Macaca fascicularis: one gene and its partners. The protein of the gene in region 1 purifies or fractionates together with the protein of each later gene. This does not show direct contact. Links are inferred from orthologs where the notes say so. Each region holds a gene or a part of one and is shown on either strand. Other genes may lie near its edges. The genes, in order: COPS4, DDB2, DCAF1 and DTL.

Evidence for each region.
Region 2: the proteins of COPS4 (region 1) and DDB2 purify together in Homo sapiens (affinity purification with mass spectrometry; 7 studies listed by BioGRID and IntAct, counting the BioPlex papers as one, with this or other methods). This does not show direct contact. The link is inferred for Macaca fascicularis from reciprocal best matches to the Homo sapiens genes COPS4 and DDB2.
Region 3: the proteins of COPS4 (region 1) and DCAF1 purify together in Homo sapiens (affinity purification with mass spectrometry; 4 studies listed by BioGRID, with this or other methods). This does not show direct contact. The link is inferred for Macaca fascicularis from reciprocal best matches to the Homo sapiens genes COPS4 and DCAF1.
Region 4: the proteins of COPS4 (region 1) and DTL purify together in Homo sapiens (affinity purification with mass spectrometry; 3 studies listed by BioGRID). This does not show direct contact. The link is inferred for Macaca fascicularis from reciprocal best matches to the Homo sapiens genes COPS4 and DTL.

The regions. Positions count from the first base shown.
Region 1 is NC_088379.1:50,781,631-50,786,524, reverse strand, and holds part of COPS4 (COP9 signalosome complex subunit 4), read left to right. Parts: intron 1-946; coding exon 947-1,100; intron 1,101-1,272; coding exon 1,273-1,423; intron 1,424-4,894. UniProt on the Homo sapiens protein: Component of the COP9 signalosome complex (CSN), a complex involved in various cellular and developmental processes.
Region 2 is NC_088388.1:18,611,011-18,615,904, reverse strand, and holds part of DDB2 (DNA damage-binding protein 2), read left to right. Parts: intron 1-2,154; coding exon 2,155-2,300; intron 2,301-3,903; coding exon 3,904-4,003; intron 4,004-4,087; coding exon 4,088-4,265; intron 4,266-4,597; coding exon 4,598-4,740; intron 4,741-4,894.
Region 3 is NC_088376.1:114,509,762-114,515,125, forward strand, and holds the start of DCAF1 (DDB1- and CUL4-associated factor 1), read right to left. Parts: upstream 3,398-5,364; 5' UTR 3,271-3,397; intron 853-3,270; 5' UTR 806-852; intron 1-805. UniProt on the Homo sapiens protein: Acts both as a substrate recognition component of E3 ubiquitin-protein ligase complexes and as an atypical serine/threonine-protein kinase, playing key roles in various processes such as cell cycle, telomerase regulation and histone modification.
Region 4 is NC_088375.1:69,850,397-69,855,290, reverse strand, and holds part of DTL (denticleless protein homolog), read right to left. Parts: intron 3,304-4,894; coding exon 3,178-3,303; intron 1,628-3,177; coding exon 1,529-1,627; intron 1-1,528. UniProt on the Homo sapiens protein: Substrate-specific adapter of a DCX (DDB1-CUL4-X-box) E3 ubiquitin-protein ligase complex required for cell cycle control, DNA damage response and translesion DNA synthesis.

The DNA of each region.
Region 1 (4,894 bases):
GTTTCACCATGTTGGTCAGGCTTGTCTTGAACTCCTGACCTCGTGATCTGCCTGCCTCGGGCTCCCAAAGTGCTGGGATTATAGGTGGGCCACCATGCCCAGCCTTGTATTCTACCATTTTTATGCACCACAACTTGATCACCAATAATATCATAATGGGTGATTTCCATTTTTTTTCCTAGCATAGATATTTATAAATAATTTTACAAATTAATATCCTTTTATATGCATATGTATGCACATCCCTGGCTATCTGGCTATCTTTTTAGGATTTCTTTTTTTTTTTTTTTTTTGGGACTAAGTCTCACTCTGTCACCCAGGCCGGAGTGCAATGTCACGATCTTGGCTCACTGCAGCCTCTGCCTCCTGAGTTCAAGCAATTCTCCTGTCTCAGCCTCCCGAGTAGCTGGGATTACAAGTGTGTGCCAACCATGCCCGGCTAATATTTTGTGTTTTTACCATGTTGGTCAGGGTGGTCTCGAACTCCTGACGTCAGGTGATCCCCCCCACCTAGGCCTCCCAATGTGTTGGAAATACAGGCATGAACCGCCACACCTGGCCTTAGGATTTATTTTCTAAAGGTAAATGTATGGTGGGTTAAGGGTATATGCATTTTAAAGGATTCAAAGGATGGTTGGAGAGCATATTTCCCAATTATTTTCTAGGAAGGTTGTCCCACTAGTCATATATGATATACCCCTAAACTGAGCAGTTGTTCTTTAGCTTTTAGCTTGTGAGATTGAGGATTAAAAGCAGCTAAGATATAATGTGATTAATGATAATAAAAATTCAATAAAACTTTTTAGTTTTTGTGTAATGCAGTAAAAAGTTTGATTCCCTTACGGTACTAGAATATATATGAGGAAAAAACAACATATCTTCTATTATTCCTAAAATTTTCTTGACAAAATATTGAGTCATTATGTGTTTTTCTGTTACATCCTAGACAGTACAATGTAGATTATAAACTGGAGACTTACTTGAAGATTGCTAGGCTATATCTGGAGGATGATGATCCAGTCCAGGCGGAGGCTTACATAAATAGAGCATCGTTGCTTCAGAATGAATCAACCAATGAACAATTACAGATACATTATAAGGTAACAGATAAGTTGATTTGGAATTAATTTTGTATTGGAGAATTGTGACATACTAAGATATTCCAGAACATCTGATAGATGCTCTGAAATATTAGAAATTGTTTCTCTGTTTTTTTTTTTTCAACTCTCGCTTTTTAATTTGTCGCCTAATTGAAACATTTTCCTTCTGTAGGTATGCTATGCACGTGTTCTTGATTATAGAAGAAAATTCATTGAAGCTGCACAAAGGTACAATGAACTCTCTTACAAGACAATAGTCCACGAAAGTGAAAGACTAGAGGCCTTAAAACATGCTTTGCACTGTACGATCTTAGCATCAGCAGGTAAACATGTAATAATTTATACTTAAATGAACAGTTATCTTTGCTTAATAACTGTAGGTTGGTTACTGTTGGAAAATTTAGCAAGGAACTATTCTTCAAAGGGATGTCTTTGTAATACAATTATGGTAAATGTAGTTTAAGTGTTTAAACAAAAACAGAAATAAAATGATTTGTTAAAATAATTTAATATGCTCATATCAGTCTATTATGCATATGTGTTAAGAATAGTTAAAAGAGGGCTGGGTGCGGTGGCTCACACCTGTAACGGATCACGAGGTCAGGAGATTGAGACCAGCCTGGCTAACACAGTGAAACCCCGTCTCTACTAAAAATACAAAAAATTAGCCGGGCATGGTGGCGGGCGCCTGTAGTCCCAGCTACTCAGGAGACTGAGGCAGGAGAATGGTGTGAATCCAGGAGGTGGAGCTTGCAGTGAGCTGAGATTGCGCCCCTGCACTAAAAAAAAAAAAAAAAGAATAGTTAAAAGAGATAATGTAAAGTTCTAAAATTTCACTAAAGAAGTGGATATCAACTTAAGTGAGAATTGTGCAGAGTGAAACAAAAATTAAAATCTGTAGATTGATGAAATGATAATTAATACACTGCTTTTGATTTTTTTTTTAACCTTCAAGTCTCAGTTTTAGACCTGACATTTATCCTTTTCTTCAATACATGTAACAAATATTGTTTGTTCTTTTTACTGAATTATAGCATGTAAATCACTTATGAAGTAGAATGAGTGTTAAGAGGAAATGCTAATTCTAAACCATAGCTTTTCTTAAATCACTCTATCACCCAGGCTGGAGTGCAGTGGCGCAATCACTACTCACTGCAGCCTCAACCTCCTGGGCTCAAGTGATCCTCCCACCTCAGCCTCCCAAGTAGCTGGGACTACAGGTGCACACCACCATGCCTGGCTAAATTTTTTGTATTTTTCTAGAGATGGGGTTTCTCCATGTTGCCCAGTCTGGTCTTGAGCTCCTGGGCTCATGTGATCCACCTGCCTTGGCTTCCCAAAGTGCTGAGATTACAGGTGTGAGCCACCACACCCATCCCATTTTATTCTTTATAGACTAGTAATCTTATTTATTTTATTTTTTGTTACTGAAAAGGCAGTACATGAACATGGTACTACTTCTTTTTCTAAAGAACTTTTACTGGTTTCTTACATTTCTTTCAATACAAATGGTAGCATATACACACTTTTGCAACTTGCCTTTTTATTGTAACTGTATACATCATTGTGATCTTTACATGTCAGTACATATAACTCATTCTTTTTGATTTTCTGTTGTCTGGCTTTATCATAATTCATTTAGTCAATCACAACACTATAGTGATTATGCACATGTATGAGTATATGTATAGGTTAACTTTCTGGATTCAAAGGTACATACTTTTGAATTTTTGATAGACGTTACACATTGCCCTGTACTATTACACTCCAAACAAAAATATTCATGAGCACCTGATTTCTTACACAGATATTACCACATTCTTTTATCTTTTCTGATCCGATAGATGAAAAACCATATCTCACTTTAGTTTTAATTTGTATTTACAAAAGCTCTTGAGCATTTTTTGTATGTTTAAAAACATTGTTGAAAAATCTGTATTTCTTTATTGAGTGAATTATACATTTATGTTGATTGGCCATTTTTTGAGTTGTTTGTCCTTTCTTGGTGACTTGTGAAAGCTCTTTAGATATAAAGGAAAATTAAAATTTTTCCTAACTTGTCATCTTTTTGGTTTTGTTTATGACATTTTTCCCATGCAGAACCTTTTAATGTTTACTTAATTACATTTATTAATCTTTCTTTAATGGCTTCTAAGTTTTGTTGACTTGCTTAGAAAAGTCTTCCCTACTCTGAAATTATATGTCATTTTAAATCCCTCAATGTTTTCTTTCAGTACTTTAGGTTCTCAAATTTCTTGGTGTCAGGACCCCTTTACACTCTGAAAAAGTATTGAGAACCCAAAAGCTCTTGTTTATGTAGATTCTATCTACTGATTATTAGAAATTAAATGAGTAATTTAAGATAATTTATTAATTTATTTTAAAGTAGCAATAATAGACCCTTTACATGTAAACATAAATGACACACTTTTATGAAAAACAATTATATTTTTCTAAGCAAAAAATGTTACTGGGAATGGAATTGTTTTGCATTAAAAAATTTTTTTTTCCCGGAGTCTGGCTCTGTTGCCCAGGCTGGAGTGCAGTGGTGCAATCTTGGCTCACTGCAAGCTCAGCCTCCCAGGTTCATGCCATTCTCCTGCCTCAGCCTCCCGAGTAGCTGGGACTACAGCTGCCCACCACCGCACCTGGCTAATTTTTTGTATTTTTTAGTAGAGACCGGATTTCACCATATTAGCCAGGATGGTCTCGATCTCCTGACCTTGTGATCCACCCGCCTTGGACTCCCAAAGTGCTGGGAGTACAGGTGTGAGCCACCGCGCTTGACCGAAACAGCTCAATTCTTATAGGCACTTCCTCGTTCACTCCGTTTGAATAGGTTATTTTAGTTAAAGTATATGAAGAAAATTCAGCCTCACACAGATGTGTAGCTGGAAAAGACAAGCACATTTTAATCTCATTTTCAGGTAATTGTGGATATTCTTTGATACTATACTTGACAGATGGTATAGTTTCTTACAGGTTAGTTGCAATGTGGAATCTGAAACCATATCAATAAGCTTTTTGCATTCTATGACATTAAAAATTCTGTTTTCTACTTCCTTTTACATAATAAGTTAGCATCCATTAAGAATCCCTGCTTGGGGCCGGGGGCGGTGGCTCACGCCTGTAATCCCAGCACTTTGGGAGGCCGAGGTGGGCGGATCACCTGAGGTTGTGAGTTTGAGACCAGCCTGACCAACATGGAGAAACCTCGTTTCTACTAAAAATACAAAATTAGCTGGGTGTGGTGGTACATGCCTGTAATCCCAGCTACTCGGGAGGCTGAGGCAGGAGGATCACTTCAACCCGGGAGGCGGAGGTTGCAGTGAGCCGAGATCGCGGCATTGCACTCCAGCCAGGGCAACAAGAGCGAAATTCCGTCTCGAAAAATAAAAAATAATAATAATAGTAATAATCCTTGCTTGGGTCATTCATTACATTGTATGTTACAAAATGGTGATTTGCTCATTCTATTCTTCTGCATGAACTTTTTTCTTCCTTTTTTAACTTTTATTTTGAACTTTTTACTTTGTACTTTTTTCCTGCTTATTTTCTGTTAGTATGATATGCACACAGGAAAAGTACACATATGAAAAGTATACAGCTTGATGAATTTTCACAAGCTGAACACCTCCATGTAACAAGCATCCAGAACAAGAAACAAGATGTTACCAACACTCCGCCTTCTTTATGCTTTCTTCAAGTCACTAGCCCCAACTCCTAACCCTACAAGAATAATCACTAGTATATATTAGCCGTCTTATTTTTTTTATATAAATGAAATCATATAG
Region 2 (4,894 bases), on another chromosome or scaffold:
TCGAGACCAGCCTGACCAACATGGTGAAACTCGTCTTTACTAAAAATACAAAAATTAGCCGGGTGTGATGGTATGGGCATGTAATCCCAGCTACTCAGGAGGCTGAGGCAGGAGGATTGCTTGAATCCAGGAGGTGGAGGCTGCAGTGAGCTGAGGTTGTACCACCGCACTCCAGCCTGGGCGACAGAGCAAGACTCCATCTAAAAAAAAAAAAAAAATCCCCCCAAAAAACAGTGCCTAATACATAGTAAGCAATTAATAAGGTTAAGCCATTGATATTATCATGATTACTTTCATCATAATTTTCTGGGATGACTGGAAGAATAGGAAGGGGCACAGATCTGACTCTTGCCCTCCTAACTCCACCACTGCTCTGAGCTGAAGCTCTTCTAAAGAGAGCACTGTGGGAATAGCAAATTAGGGCACATCCATAAAATGGAATAATACCTCAGCAATAAAATGAGATGAGCTTGTTGATAAAGCAAACTCAGATGAATCTCAGAGGCATGATGAGTGACATGAAACAAGACAGTCTCAAAAGGTTGCATACTGCCTAATTCATTTACATGACATTCTATTTTTAATTCTATTTTTAATTTAATTTTATTTTTAGAGACAGGATCTTGCTCTGTCACCCACGCTAGAGTGCAGTGATGCGATCACAACTCACTGCAGCCTCGACCTCCAGGGTTCCGTCATCCTCCCACCTCAGCCTTCTGAGGAGCTAGAACCACAGGCACCTACCACCATGCCTATATATATATGTGTGTGTGTGTGTGTGTGTGTGTGTATATATATATATATATTTTTTTTTTTTTTTTTTTTTTGTAGAGATGGGGGTTCTCCCTATATTGCTCAGGCTGGTCTTGAACTCCTGGCCTCAAGCAGTCCCCCCGCCTCAGTCTCCCAGGTGGTGGGATTACTGTGCCTGGTCTATTGGACATTCTATGAGGGCAAAACAATAGTGATGGAGAACAGATCAGCCAGGGGCTGGGGGCGAGGGGAGGGTGTGATTGCAATGGGATAGCACAATGGAGTTTTTGGGCTGTTGCAAATGTTCTGCATTTTGATTTGGGTGGTGGTTATTTAAATCTATACATATGTTAAAATTCAGAGAACTGTATACCCCAAATTTGCTATATGTTAATTAAAAAAAAGAAAGTAAAAATAAAGCCTTAAGAAGTGAAGGGAGGCCAGACTTAGTGGCTCACGCCTATAATCCCAGCACTTTGGGAGGCTGAGGCTGGCGGATCACCTGAGGTCAGGAGTTCAAGACCAGCCTGGCCAACATGGTGAAACCCTGTCTCTTCTAAAAATACAAAATTTAGCCATGCGTGGTGGTGGGCACCTGTAATCCCAGCTGCTTGGGAGGCTGAGGCAGGAGAATCGCTTGAACCTGGAAGGCAGAGGTTGCAATGAGCCGGGATCACGCCATTGCACTCCAGCCTGGGTGACAGAGTGGGACTCCATCTCAAAAAAAAAAAAAACAAAAAAAAGGAAAGGGAGGGAGGGAGGGAAGAAGAAAGAGAAAGAAAGAAAGGAAGAAAAAGAAAAGAAGGGGCCAGGCAAAGTGGCTCATGCCTATAATCTTAGCACTTTGGGAAGCCACGGTAGGAGGATCACTTGAGCTCAGGAGTTCGAGACCAGCCTGGGCACCACAATGAGACCCTGTCTCTACCAACAATTTTTTAAAAATTAGCACTTGTAATGCCAGCACTTAGGGAGGCTGAGGTGGGCAGATCGCTTGAGCTCAAGAGTTCAAGACCAGCCTGGGCAACATGACAAAACCCCATCTTTAAAAAAAAAAAAAAAAAAATACAAAAATGAACTGCGCATGGTGTGTGCACCTGTAGTCCCAGCTACTTGGGAGGCTGAGGTAGGAGGATCGCTTGAGCCTGGGAGATTGAGGCTGCAGTGAGCCGTGTTCGTGCCACTGCACTTCAGCCTAAGTGACAGAGAAAGACCCTATTTCAAGGGAAAAGAAAAAGAAGTGAAGGCTCTGTGGAGAGCGTCCTAGTGTTTAGGTGTCCGAGCTGACCTGGCCCCACGCACTGCTCGTTGGTGCTTCCGTGACAGCGCAGCACGCGTGCCCAGGCCTGGTTCCTCACTGCCAGGCCCATCATCACTCACTGGCTTTTTCCTTCCTCGTGTTAGATTGGAGCTGGAGGGAGCATCACTGGGCTGAAGTTTAACCCTCTCAATACCAACCAGTTTTACGCCTCCTCAATGGAGGGAACAACTAGGCTGCAAGACTTTAAAGGCAACATTCTACGAGTTTTTGCCAGCTCAGACACCATCAAGTGAGTAGTTTAACTAGGCGGGGAAAGGGCTTCTAAGCTTAGGTGTAGTTCCGGCAAGAGCATCCAGATCCCATTTCCTCAACCCAACCTGGCACAGGGAAGAAAGGAAAGATGTCAGCCACCTTCCGCCCTTCTTTCTCTTTCTCAAACTGTTCCTTGGCCACCCTCACTTTGGTCCAGGTGGGTTACTGCTTTGGGAAGGTGTTCTGGAGCCTCAGCTCTTCTGTAAGTCATACCTGTATTAGACTAGACCTGGACCTTCACTAGATAAGCCAGCATGGCATAGGCCCAGAAAGCCACCTAGAGAATGGAGCAGCAGCTAAGAACTTGAGACTGAATTCCCTGCACTCGCTGTGGTGTAATGACCTGAGCCGTTCCTGGGTGCAAGCTTACATGGATGGAATCTTGTCCATAAAGTGCTCTGAACTTCCCAAGAGAAAGTGGCTGGAGAAATTACAGAATGCAGCTGGGTGCGGTGGCTCATGCCTGTAATCCCAGCACTTTGGGAGGCCAAGGTGGGTGGATCACCTGAGGTCAGGAGTTCAAGACCAGCCTGGCCAACATGGTGAAACCCCATCTCTACTAACAATACAAAAAATGAGCCGGATGTGGTGGTAGGTGCCTGTAATTCCCAGCTACTTGGGAGGCTGAAACAAGAGAGTAGCTTGAACCCAGGAGGCAGAGGTTGCAGTGAGCCAAGATTGCGCCACTGCACTCCAGCCTGGGCAACAAGAGTGAAATTCCATCTCCAAAAAAAAAAAAAAAATTACAAAATGCTCGTCACTTTGATTTCCAGCTAGAGCCGGGACTCTGACTGCTCCCTGAGGAATTAAGTGAGGGTGCTGGGGTGTAACTAGCATTGGATGGGATCCTGGGCTGTCCTGCAGGGATGAGGAGTGCATGCGCAATTCAGCAGGTGATTGGATAGACGAGGCTCCAGGCTCGTTTTCCGCAAGAAATCTTCTTGCTTGAAGATATTCATAAGGGATGGCAAAAGTCAGTGTAGCATGGATTTGAGGGTTTGAGAGAAAAACTGAGCTGAGCTCCTCTGGCTGGATAGCAGGATCCCTGAAGCACCCCTAGTCAGCCTCCCAGTCCAGTGGTTTGAGGGACCAGAAGAGCTCCTGGTTGTGTGTTTTTCCCTCAGTGTTCAGAAGGGGGCAGAAGTGCCTTTCCAGCCAGCTCTGAGGAACAGAGCCAGGCAATCCCTGTTTGGCTTGTGTCTCCTTTGGCCCAAAGGGTGGAGAGTGAAAGGAGAGAGCAGTAAAGGAGGATTGCTTAGAACCCGGGGTGTGGGGGCGGGCGTGCCCTGAGGCTTGCTTTATGGTTTGAGCTTTGTCTGCTTCAGAGACTCTTAGGAGCTGGGGATCCTGGGCCCAGCAGTAACCAGACAGATTTCTGAGCCCCATTACCCCATTCCCTCTGTCTGGACGGTAGAGCAGTCTGAATGTTCCTCGCTAGGAATCCACAGCAAGACAGTTATTCATTCATTCAACAAATATTTATTGAATGCCCACTGTGGGTTAGTCACTGGAGCAGCAACAGTGAGTAAACAGGCCTATCTCTGTCCCCAAGAATCTTACAACACAGTCTTTCCCTCCAGCATCTGGTTTTGTAGCCTGGATGTGTCCGCCAGTAGCCGAATGGTGGTCACAGGAGACAACGTGGGGAACGTGATCCTGCTGAACATGGACGGCAAAGAGGTGCGTTCTCCCAGGTCCTGCCTTTCCCTCCCTCATCCCCGCCTCGGTTCTGTGTCCCCACCTGAACCGAGCTCTTCTCTGCAGCTTTGGAATCTCAGAATGCACAAAAAGAAAGTGACGCATGTGGCCCTGAACCCATGCTGTGATTGGTTCCTGGCCACAGCCTCCGTAGATCAAACAGTGAAAATCTGGGACCTGCGCCAGGTTAGAGGGAAAGCCAGCTTCCTCTACTCGCTGCCGCACAGGCATCCTGTCAACGCAGGTGTGATATCCCAGACCTCATCTCTCCTGCAGACCCTGCCTATCTGACTGCTGCTGGGGTGTTCCCTCAGCGTGGAAGCCACTACCACAAACCTTTACCCCTGATAGCGTCTGCCAAGCTGATGTCTGGGAATCTTTGTGGCTGTGGCTGTCCCCATCAACTGCTGAGTTTCCAGAATTTTGTTGTTGTTCATAGCCCAGATTCACCTCTTCCTTTCCGCTCCTGTCTAGAGAGGAGTGGTAGGGAGGGTACCCCTGCAGGAGAAGGCCTGCAAGGCCAGGACCACAGGGGGCTCGTGGTTCCTTCAGCTCAGGGGCTTTTCACTTTGCCAGCTTGTTTCAGTCCCGATGGAGCCCGGCTCCTGACCACGGACCAGAAGAGCGAGATCCGAATTTACTCTGCTTCCCAGTGGGACTGCCCCCTGGGCCTGATCCCACACCCTCACCGTCACTTCCAGCACCTCACACCCATCAAGGTGAGTGGCGGAGGGAAGGAGCTCCCAGAAGGAAGCTGTGATCATGAGGCTGGAGCAGGTCTGCCCACGGTGGGGAAGGGCTGATGTGGTAAGCCTGCCACCCCAGATCGCTCCTGGCCCAAGCACAGAGCATCTCTTACCCTTTGGCTCTCTC
Region 3 (5,364 bases), on another chromosome or scaffold:
GGCCACAGTGAGTCATGACTGCACCACCGTACTCCAGCCAGAGCAAAAGTGCGAGACCTTGTCTCAAGAAAAAAAAAAAAAAAAGGCTGGGCACAGTGGCTCATGCCTGTAATCCCAGCTCTTTGGGAGGCCAAGGCAGGCAGATCACCTGAGGTTGGGAGTTTGAGACCAGCCTGACCAACATGAAGAAACCCCGTCTCTACTAAAAACACAAAATTAGGCCGGGCACAATGGCTCACGCCTGGTAATCCCAGCACTTTGGGAGGCCGAGGCCGGTGGATCACAAGGTCAGGAATTCGAGACCAGCCTGGCCAACATAGTGAAACTGCGTCTCTACAAAAATACAAAAAAAATTAGCCAGGCATGGTGGCACGTGCCTGTAATCCCAGCTACTCGGGAGGCTGAGGCAGGAGAATCACTTGAACCCAGGAGGCAGAGGTTGTGGGGAGCCGAGATCGCACCACTACACTCCAGTTTGGGCAACAAGAGCAAAAAGACAGTCATCTTCACCTTGTTATGCCCAAGACAGTGAGGATGCATTACTCAAGTTCTTAAGTGAGTTATTTAAGTGCTATGAAGAAATGATGGTCTGTCCAATGGTGACACATAGTTACCAATTAGTGAATATCTAGTATGGAACAGACATTGAGTAAGTAATTTACTACACTTACATTATTCTGAATTTTCACAACCATCCTACCCTTTTTTACACATGAGGAAACAAGCTCCGAGAGGTCCCCAAGACCAGCTAGTACTAGGTAGAAAAAGTATTTCAAGGATTCAAATCCCAATTCTGCTGACATACCTGTGAAGTCTTGGTTATTTAACTTCTCCAAATCTCAATTTCCTTATCTGTAAGATGGAAACAGTTGTTGTGCGGGGTTAAATGACAATATTGTCCCCATGGTGGGATAATACAAAGCCTCAAGAAATACTTATGTAAAATTTCCTTATCCTAACAAGTGTCTGCTAGCGTAGTCCACAAAATAAATATATAGATACCACACACAAAAACAGAAAAAATATGGCATAATATTAACAATTGTTTGCCGGGCACAATGGCTCATGCCTGTAATCCTAGCACTTTGGGAGACTGAAGTGGGTGGATTACTTGAGGCCAAAGTTCAAGACCAGACTGGCCAAAATGGCAAATCCGCATCTCTACTAAAAATAAAAAAATTAGCCAGGCGTGGTAGCACACACCTGTAATCCCTAGCTACTCCAGAGGCTGAGGCATGAGAATCACTTGAACCCGGGAAGCGGAGGTTGCAGTGAGCGGAGATCATGCCACTGCACTCCAGCCTGGGCAACAGGGCAAGACTCCGTCTCAAAAAAAAAAAAAAAAATTAAAAACTTGCCAGGCACAGTGGCTCAAGCCTGTAATCCCAACACTTTGGAAGGCCAAGTCGGGAGGATTACTTGAGGTCAGTTGGGCAACATTTCGAGACACAGTCTACACAAAAATTTAAAAATTACCCAATCATGGTAGCCTGTGCCTGCAGTCCTAGTTACTCAGGAGGCTGAGGCAGCAGGCTCCTTTGAGTCCAGGAGTTAGAGGCTGCAATGAGTTATGATCACACTCGAGACCATCCTGGCTAACACACTGAAACCCTGTCTCTACAAAAAATTAGCCGGGCGTGATGTCAGGCGTCTGTAATCTCAGCTACTCAGGAGACTGAGGCAGGAGAATGGCGTGAACCTAGGAGGCGGAGCTTGCAGTGAGCCGAGATCGCATCACTGCACTCCAGCCTGGGCGACAGAGCGAGACTCTGTCTCAAAAAAAAAAAAAAAAAGGGTTATGATCACACCACTGCACTCCAGCCTAGGCTACAGAGCAAGATCCTGTATCTAAAAAAAAAACAGTCTAGGTGTAGTGGCTCGTGCCTGTAATTCCAACACTTTGGGAGGTTGACAAGGGAGGATCACTTGAGTTCCAGACCAGCCTGGGCAACACAGTAAGACTACTGTCTCTACAAAAAATAAATGAATAAAAATAAAAAATTTAAAAACTGTATAATAGGCAGAACAGTAAAACACTGTACTCAGCAACTACCCAAGAGGTACTGAGCAAAAAATGATTTCCCTACACTCCCCAAATTCTCTATTATCTCAACATCCAAATATATATACCTACTCAAAAATGGGTAATGAATAACTGCTATATAGAAAACCCAAATGTTCACATCATTAAGAAAAATACTAAATCGATTCCTAAAGTCTACATATACACACATAAACATTAAAGGTAAACTCCAGTAAGCTGGAAAAAGAAAATGAAGGATATTACCAATTAACCTCTCATTCTGTACATTAACAATGCATTTTGAACAGGAAGATGCTACTAACATAAAAAATTAAAACGTGTAAAGACTAATTAAAAGGCTTCATCGAAAAAACAGGGTAAGGAAAAACCGAGACCAACATGACGTGGCCAAGGACAAGTCATTTCTGACTCAAAAATAACTAATACAAACACTCCAAAACTATTTCCTCAACAAATGGAAAACCAGAGCGCTGCCACTGCAGTAAGAGGAAGCCAGACAGAAAACCGTCTAGGAAGTGAAGTTGTGAAGCAAACGCTTCTGAAACCCCAGTTGAAAACTACTATAACCCCCGGAAACAGACTCCCGGGAAGTTTGGCGGGCACTCTGAGGTTTGACTCCAGGCTGCGGGACCCGCACACCTCTTTCCAACCCTTCCCTTCTTCATGGGGATGAGAGGAGTGACCAGAAAGCTCCGCCCCCGTCGCAAGGTCCAAGAGCCGGGCGGGTGCAGGGAGAGGTGGCACGAGGCCGAGAGACTGGAGAGCCCGCCCAGGTGACTGGAGCCGGAGGCGGAGACACAGTCCGTGAAGGGGCCCGCCGTATAGTACGGAAGATGGAGCCCCCCCAAGCCCGTACGGAACAGAGACTAGGAAGATTGGAAGGGAAAAGATGACAAGGGATATGACATGCGCCCCTCCCTCCAGGTAGGGGCTGACACACCCCGCCCCCCCACTCCGGGCGGAAGAGTTACTCTCGGGAAGCTTCTCGTGGGGAGTGGAGGAAGAACGTGGAGGCCCCGCCCCCGGGACAAGAATCAGGAGGAGGAAAAGTCCTGTCAGGCCCCGGGCCCAGCCTCCCGGCTGACCGGCCCGCCCCCTCCTCGCCGGCGGCCCAAGCAGGTGCCGCCCCTCCCCCAGCCCGGCGCCCACTCTGCCGCCCGGCCAGCCACGCGCCCTGCCTCCTCGCGCCCCTCCCGTAGAGTCGCCTCCCTCCATTTCCCACTCACCGTCCGAGGCGGCTCCGCCACTGCCCCCCCGCGACCCCGCCAGTGGCCACAGTTCACACACACAGCCTCAGGTCCCGCACTCACTCTTCACTCACATACACACACAGCGCGACCACGGCTCCACAGCGGCCCACATATTATGCGTCACTCGCGCGCTACGTGCACCGCGCGCGCGGGCGCGCGCGCCTACTTGGCGCGAGGACAGTGAGCAAGGGGCGGGAGGAGAACGCCTGCACGATCCGAGGAAAATCGAAGAGCCCCGGGGACGCCTGGGAAATGAAGTTCCGCGTCTAGGGGCGGGCCCACCAGTCCCAATTGACGCATGAGCTCTTCGCCCCGCGCATTGACTTCTGGATTTGTAGTTTTTTTGGATAAATGCGAACTGCTGAGTACTCATTGGCTGCTTCGGAAAGCGGAAGTGAAAAGTGAGGGAGTCAATCCTTCCAAGACAGTACTATAATCGCCTGATGCTTTAGTGTCTTGTTCTGACCTGTGTGCGCAAAGAGCCTCTGTTTTATTCGGCTATTTGCCTCATCTTACCTAGAACATACCGTGATCTAAGAAAATATTTTCTCATAAACATATCAGAAATCACAGCACTCATTAAAACAGAAGGCACTAGTTGTTTTTTATGTGTTTGTTTTGAGACAGAGCCTCGCTCTGTTGCCCAGGCTGGAGTGCAGTGACGATCTCAGCTCACTGCGACCTCCGCCTCCCGGGCTCAAACAGTCCTCCCACCTCAGCCTCCAGCTGAGACTACAGGTGCATGCCACGACACCCAGTTAATTTTTGTTTTTGTTTTGTGTGTGTGTATTTGGTAGAGACATGGTTTCACCATATTGGCCAGTCTGGTCTCGAACTCCTGGGCTGAAGCGGTCCACCCACCGGGGCCTCCCAGCCTCTTTGTTCTCCGTCTTTTTTTTTTTTTTTTTTTGAGACAGAGCCTCGCTCTGTCACCCACGCTGGGGTGCAATGGCGCAATCACAGCTCACTACAGCCTCAACCTCCTGGGCTCGAGCTGTCTTCCCACTTCAGTCTCCCAAGTAGCTGGGACTACGGGTGTGCACCACCACACCCAGCTAATTTTTTAAAATTTTTGTAGAGACGGAGTCCCACTGTGTTGTCCAGGTTGGTCTTGAATTTCTAGGCTCAAGTGATTCTCCTGCCTCAGTCCCTCAAAGTGTTGGGATTACAGGTATGAGCCACTGCGCCCAGCCTCTCTTTTTGTTCAAGACCTAGCCTGTAGGAATCAATAGATACTTATTGCCAGGTATTATACGTGAGGCAGAGAAGTGAAAAATCAAAAGCTCATAGATTGAGGCAGGACTGACCTCACAGGTCACTTAATTCAATTTCTTCATGTTATTGGGAAAAATGAGGCCCAGAGGGAGTGAGTGACTTGCCCAGCATCACACAACCAATTAGCAGAACCAGAAGACTCCTTACTCCGACCAGCGGTCCCTTTTGCGGGGCATAGAAGATAAACATGACTCCACATTTGAGGAGAATCTTGACCTGACAAGATCCTACCCAACCTTCAAGGCCTTACGCAGCTCATTATCTCTCTGGGAATGCTGAGCAAGTCTCCGTGCATTTCCATGAGTCTTCACGGACAATACTGTCACATGAACACAAGACACAGCAAGCCTGCCGCTATGCTCAGTGTTCCACAGCTAGTAAGGAACCTGAATCCTGGTTCCCTTGGTTTCACTCCCCACTAGATCCCATTTCCCTCTTTCCAGAAAAGAGACCATCCTCCTTCTCTTAAATGTGTACTCTACTGTGTGCTGGGAGCGCCACAGACATGTCACCTCTCTTCACTTCTTTCTCCTGCAACAACACACAGCTTTCTTCTCTGTGCTTCTGGAACTTTGCCTCTATCAGTAATGGCCACTACCATTTCTTTCAACTTTAGAGCATGCTGGGCTCTGAGCCAAGTGTTCTAGCCACACTCTCTCATTTAACCCTCACTACCCTGCCACACACACAGGGAAGATATGGTTAATCACCTTTACAGATGAGAAATCTGAACCCAGAGAGGTAGATCAAGGAATGGAACCCACATGCCTTTCCTCCAGCACTCCTTCAGGTGAC
Region 4 (4,894 bases), on another chromosome or scaffold:
AAAACAAAGATGCACACATAAAAAATCAGTAGTCAGCACTCTTTGGCATGAGCAAAGATAATTTGTGGACTCATAGAAATTACACATTCCCTTAATTACCACATGAGAACTAACATCTGATGTCAAATTCCTTTCCATGAGTTCACTAGTTATATATTCTCTAAAATGGAATCTTTCTGAAACATATTCCAGTTCAAAAATCTTCATGATACTGGCTGGGCACAGTGGCTCACACCTGTAATCCCAGCACTTTGGGAGGCCGAGGCAGGCAGATCACTTGAGGCCAGGAGTTAACCAGCCTGGCTAACATGGTAAAACCCCATCTCTACCAAAAACAAACAAACAAACAAACAAAAAACAAAAATAAAAAGAACTTCATGATGCTCTCTGAATGGAATGTAAAATACTTTAGTTTGACATTCAACATTTTGCATTCTTTAGTCTTTATCTTGGTTGCAAGCCTCATCTCTCACTGTTTTCGATATCTTATTCCAACCAAATTGGTCACTTCCTATTTTATTATATCCTATGCTTTTCCATCTCTAGACCTTTGCTAATGCTTTTCCCTTCACCTGGAGTACCCCCTTCCATTTCCACCGGTCTAAATACCATAGTCCAACTCAAATGCCCCATTCTTCATAAATTTTCCTAGCCTTCTTTACTACATGAGAGTTTTCTCTTTGACACCAGTGTGTTTTCTTTCTACTTCTGTATAATTTATAGCCTTTGTTTTATTTATTTCAACACTTGACTTATAGGTTCCAAATTATCAGCTTCTTAAGGTTAGAAGAACTTTGCTTTATACCTGAAAAATGTTCGATCAATATAAATATTTTAAAGCAACACTTCTCTAACCACATTAAGTGTTAAAGATTCAACTTTTTGAAGGAATTGTTTTTAATCCTAAAATGTATTTTTCTTAACTTTGAGTAAAGGCATTGTCATAGTTAACAGTTATTGACAGATAGGTAGTCCACCATTCACATCTAACCTGGTCCCTAAAAAGACTTCATCAGAAGTTAACATAATCAGGAATGTGTTATATATACTTCAGATGTTTGTCCCTTCCCAAATCTCATGTTACAATTCAATCCTGAAAGTTGGAGGTGGGACTTAATGGAAGGCATTTGGGTCATGGGGGTGTATCCCTCATGAACAGATTAATGCCCTCCCTAAGAGGTGAACAGATGAGTGACTTCTTACTCTATTAGTTCCCTGGAAAGCTGATTGTTTAAAAAAGAGCTTGGTACTACCCCTTTCTCTTGCCATGTAACCTCTGTATTCATGGGCTCCTCTTTGCTTTCTGCCATGAGTTGGGGCAGACTGAGGCCTTCACCAGATGTCTAATCTTCTAGCCAGCAGAATCATGCACCAAATAAACCTTTTTTCTTTATAAACTACCCAGTCTCAGTTATTCCTTTGTAGCAACACAAGACAGACTAAAACAGAATGTGTTCAAATAATAATACACTTGAGGATCTGTAAAGTTTTTTAAATGTTAAAACAAAAATTGTAGACCTAGACTTACCTTTGAAGCACTTCTTTCTGAAAGTTTGTGATTCAGTGTTATACAATCGAACAAAGCCTTCTTCATTGGCAACTGCTAGTACGTGTTCCATATTGGGAGCTAAAGCAGAAATAAAGAATAAAATATATGAAGAGTAACACAAAATTTTTTTTTTTTTTTAGACGGAGTCTGGCTCTGTCGCCCAGGCTGGACTGCAATGGCACGATTTGGCTCACTGCAACCTCCACCTCCTGGGTGCAAGTGATTCTCCTGCCTCAGCCTCCCAAGTAGCTGGGATTACAGGCATGCACCACCACACCCAGCTAATTTTGTATTTTTACCAGAGATGGGGTTTCACCATGTTAGTCAGGCTGGTTTTGAATACCTAACCTCAAGTGATCCACCTGCCTCAGCCTGCCAAAGTGCTGGGATTACAGGCATAAGCCACTGCGCCCAGCCACAAAACTTTTTAAGTTTCCTCAAAACCACCAAAATTTTCTTCACATAATCTCTTATTTAGAGAAGGGCTAAATCGAGGGTTGTACTTAAACAAAACAGGAGTGGTACTGGCCAATGGCAAACAAAAGCATATGATGATATAGGCCGCCAGCAGGCTGAGTCTATTAGTTTTGTTTTTTTTTTTTAATCATATTTTTATTTACGTATTTTTACCACAATCATTGCTACGTAATAGTCTATTAGTTTTTGTTTTTGAGACGCAGTCTCCCTCTGTCACCTAGGCTGGAATGCAGTGGCGTGATCTTGGCTCACTGCAACCTCCGACTCCCAGGTTCAAGCGATTCTCTTGCCTCAGCCTCCCCAGTAGCCGGGACTACAGGCGTGCACCACCACGCTCGGCTAATTTCTGTAAGGAGTCTATTAGTTTTAAATTTCCTTTTCACAACTTTTTCTCTCCTCTCAAAACTATTATGGGTGGAGACAAGTACTTCCATTTCTTTCTTTTTTCTTTTTTTGGAGATGAAGTCTCACTCTGTCACCCAGGCTGGAGTGCAATGGCACAATCTTGGCTCACAGCAACCTCTGCCTCTCAGGTTCAAGTGATTCTCTTGTCTCAGCCTCCCAGGTAGCTGAGATTACAGGCATGCGCCACTACGCCCAGCTAATTTTTTGCAATTTTAGTAGAGATGGGGTTTTACCATGTTGGCCAGGCTGGCCTCGAACTCCTGACCTCAAGTGATCTACCCGCCTTGGCCTCCCAAAGTTCTGGGATTACAAGTGTGAGCCACTGCACCCAGACCCGCCTTGGCCTCCTAAAGTGCTGGGATTTCAGGCGTGAGCTACTCAGCTTGGCCAAAGTACTTCTATTTCTGTTCATATATTCCCCAGTGAGTCACAGAAAGATACATTCAACCAGATCAAAGGGTATGTATCTACTGGGTAAAACAGTTTTCATTGTAGCTGAACCTTTGCCACCATTTCCTTATATTGGTTTTTTAAAAATGGTGCTATAATAATCCTATGCTTTAGAAGAAATATAGTTATGCTAATGATGCATAGAGATTAAGAAAAGTCTATTTTATAAATCAAAAGACAACAGTTTTTACAAAAACTCTAACATCTACCTAGTTTACTTTTTGAAGTATATTTGCCCTGTAAATGTGAAATAGATCATTTCTGTCCAAGCCTTGCCTAGAGAGTAATTCTCTTACCAGAAGAGAAGGTACATCCAAAAGGAGGAACCGGGACTCCTGTTTCTCCATAAGAAGTGTGTTCATCATTACCACTGCATTGATAACCAGTCAGAAGGGATTGTAGAGGGTATTGTGAAGACCATCCTAAAACAAGACAATTCCTTATAGAATTCCAATAGAGCATCACATTTCAGCATTTTTAACAAATCCAGAGGTATATATTTGTTCTTAAGAAACTTTAGATATTAACATAGATCCACTTACTATTAATATCTATGGAAGACACTGTTTCTGGTATTTCCTTAAAAGAGTCCTAAGGAAAAAATGAAAAAGCACTTCCAACTTCTGGGGAGGTATAGCTTTGGGCTTACTATCTAAAATGAAGACTCTCACTAGCACATTGAGATTAGAAGAAATAAGAGGCCTTTGCATATTAAGAAAGATCTTCCTCCTTCTCCTACCAAAGAGACAACCACAAAAGCATTCCATTAAAACTGTTATCCCTTTCTATTAAATTCTTATGCTGGAACATCATACAAAATCCAGTGGTCAAAGAGCCAAAGAAAATAATATATATCAATGCAACTACTATAGCCAGTAACATATTCACCAAATTTACTTTCTTTTTCCTTTACTGCTGAAATTGTAGGAATCTAAAATGTTAATAGCAACGCTTATAGTATCTTAAATGATATTAGAGAAATTGTAAAGTGAAGCGTTATGTACCTACCCCTAGTAAACATTTAGTTAGCCCTGGCTAGTGGCAGTGGGTCAGGCAGTCTTTACAGGAGGTCTTGAAAGATGGGTAAATTTTCACTGAATTTAGAATAGAGAACAGGAAACTCAGGGTGGAAGAAAAGTTTATTCTGCTTGGGTCAGAGATCTAACGTGCACTATGGTCCTACATAGTAAGATATCTTCAGAGATTTGTTTTTATCATACTCATTTGTGGTCAAGACATTTTAAACATATAAAAGAAACATTCATTCAACAAGTAATTACTGAAAACCAAATGTTCAATAAGCATTGGAGGAATCACTGAGTTTACAATCTATTGAAAGCATAACAAACTCACATTTTAGGGTACTCTGAATTCTCACTTTTCATCAAAAGTACTATGTGGAGAATACATCCTAGCTTGATATAACCTCAGACAAATCTACATTTGGATGCTCATAGACATAACCTGAAGGAATCAATAGAAGGGCACCAAAAAATTTAATCCAAATTTAATAATTAGTTCTGGGGCCATCATGTCATAATTTCAACATCAGATATCATTGTAAAGGAGCTGTTAAAGACCACTAAAAGAATGCAATAGGCTGGGCGCGTTGGCTCATGCCTGTAATCCCAGCACTTTGGGAGGCCGAGGTGGGAGGATCACGAGGTTAGGAGATCAAGACCATCCTGGCTAATCCGTGAAACCCCGTCTCTACTAAAAATAAAAACAAAAACAAAAACAAAACAAAAAAAATTAGCCAGGCATGGTGGCAGGCGCCTGTAGTCCCAGTTACTCAGGAGGCTGAGGCAGGAGAATGGCGTGAACCCGGGAGGCAGAGCTTGCAGTGAGTCGAGACTGCGCCACTGCACTCCAGCCTGGGCGACAGAGCAACACTCCGTCTCCAAAAAAAAAATGCAATAGTTACGTTGAGTTCACAAGTATTAACCTACAGAATAAGTGTGTAGAAACAACAAAAGCCTCTGTTCAAAGGTTATGTAAATATACATGTTTTGG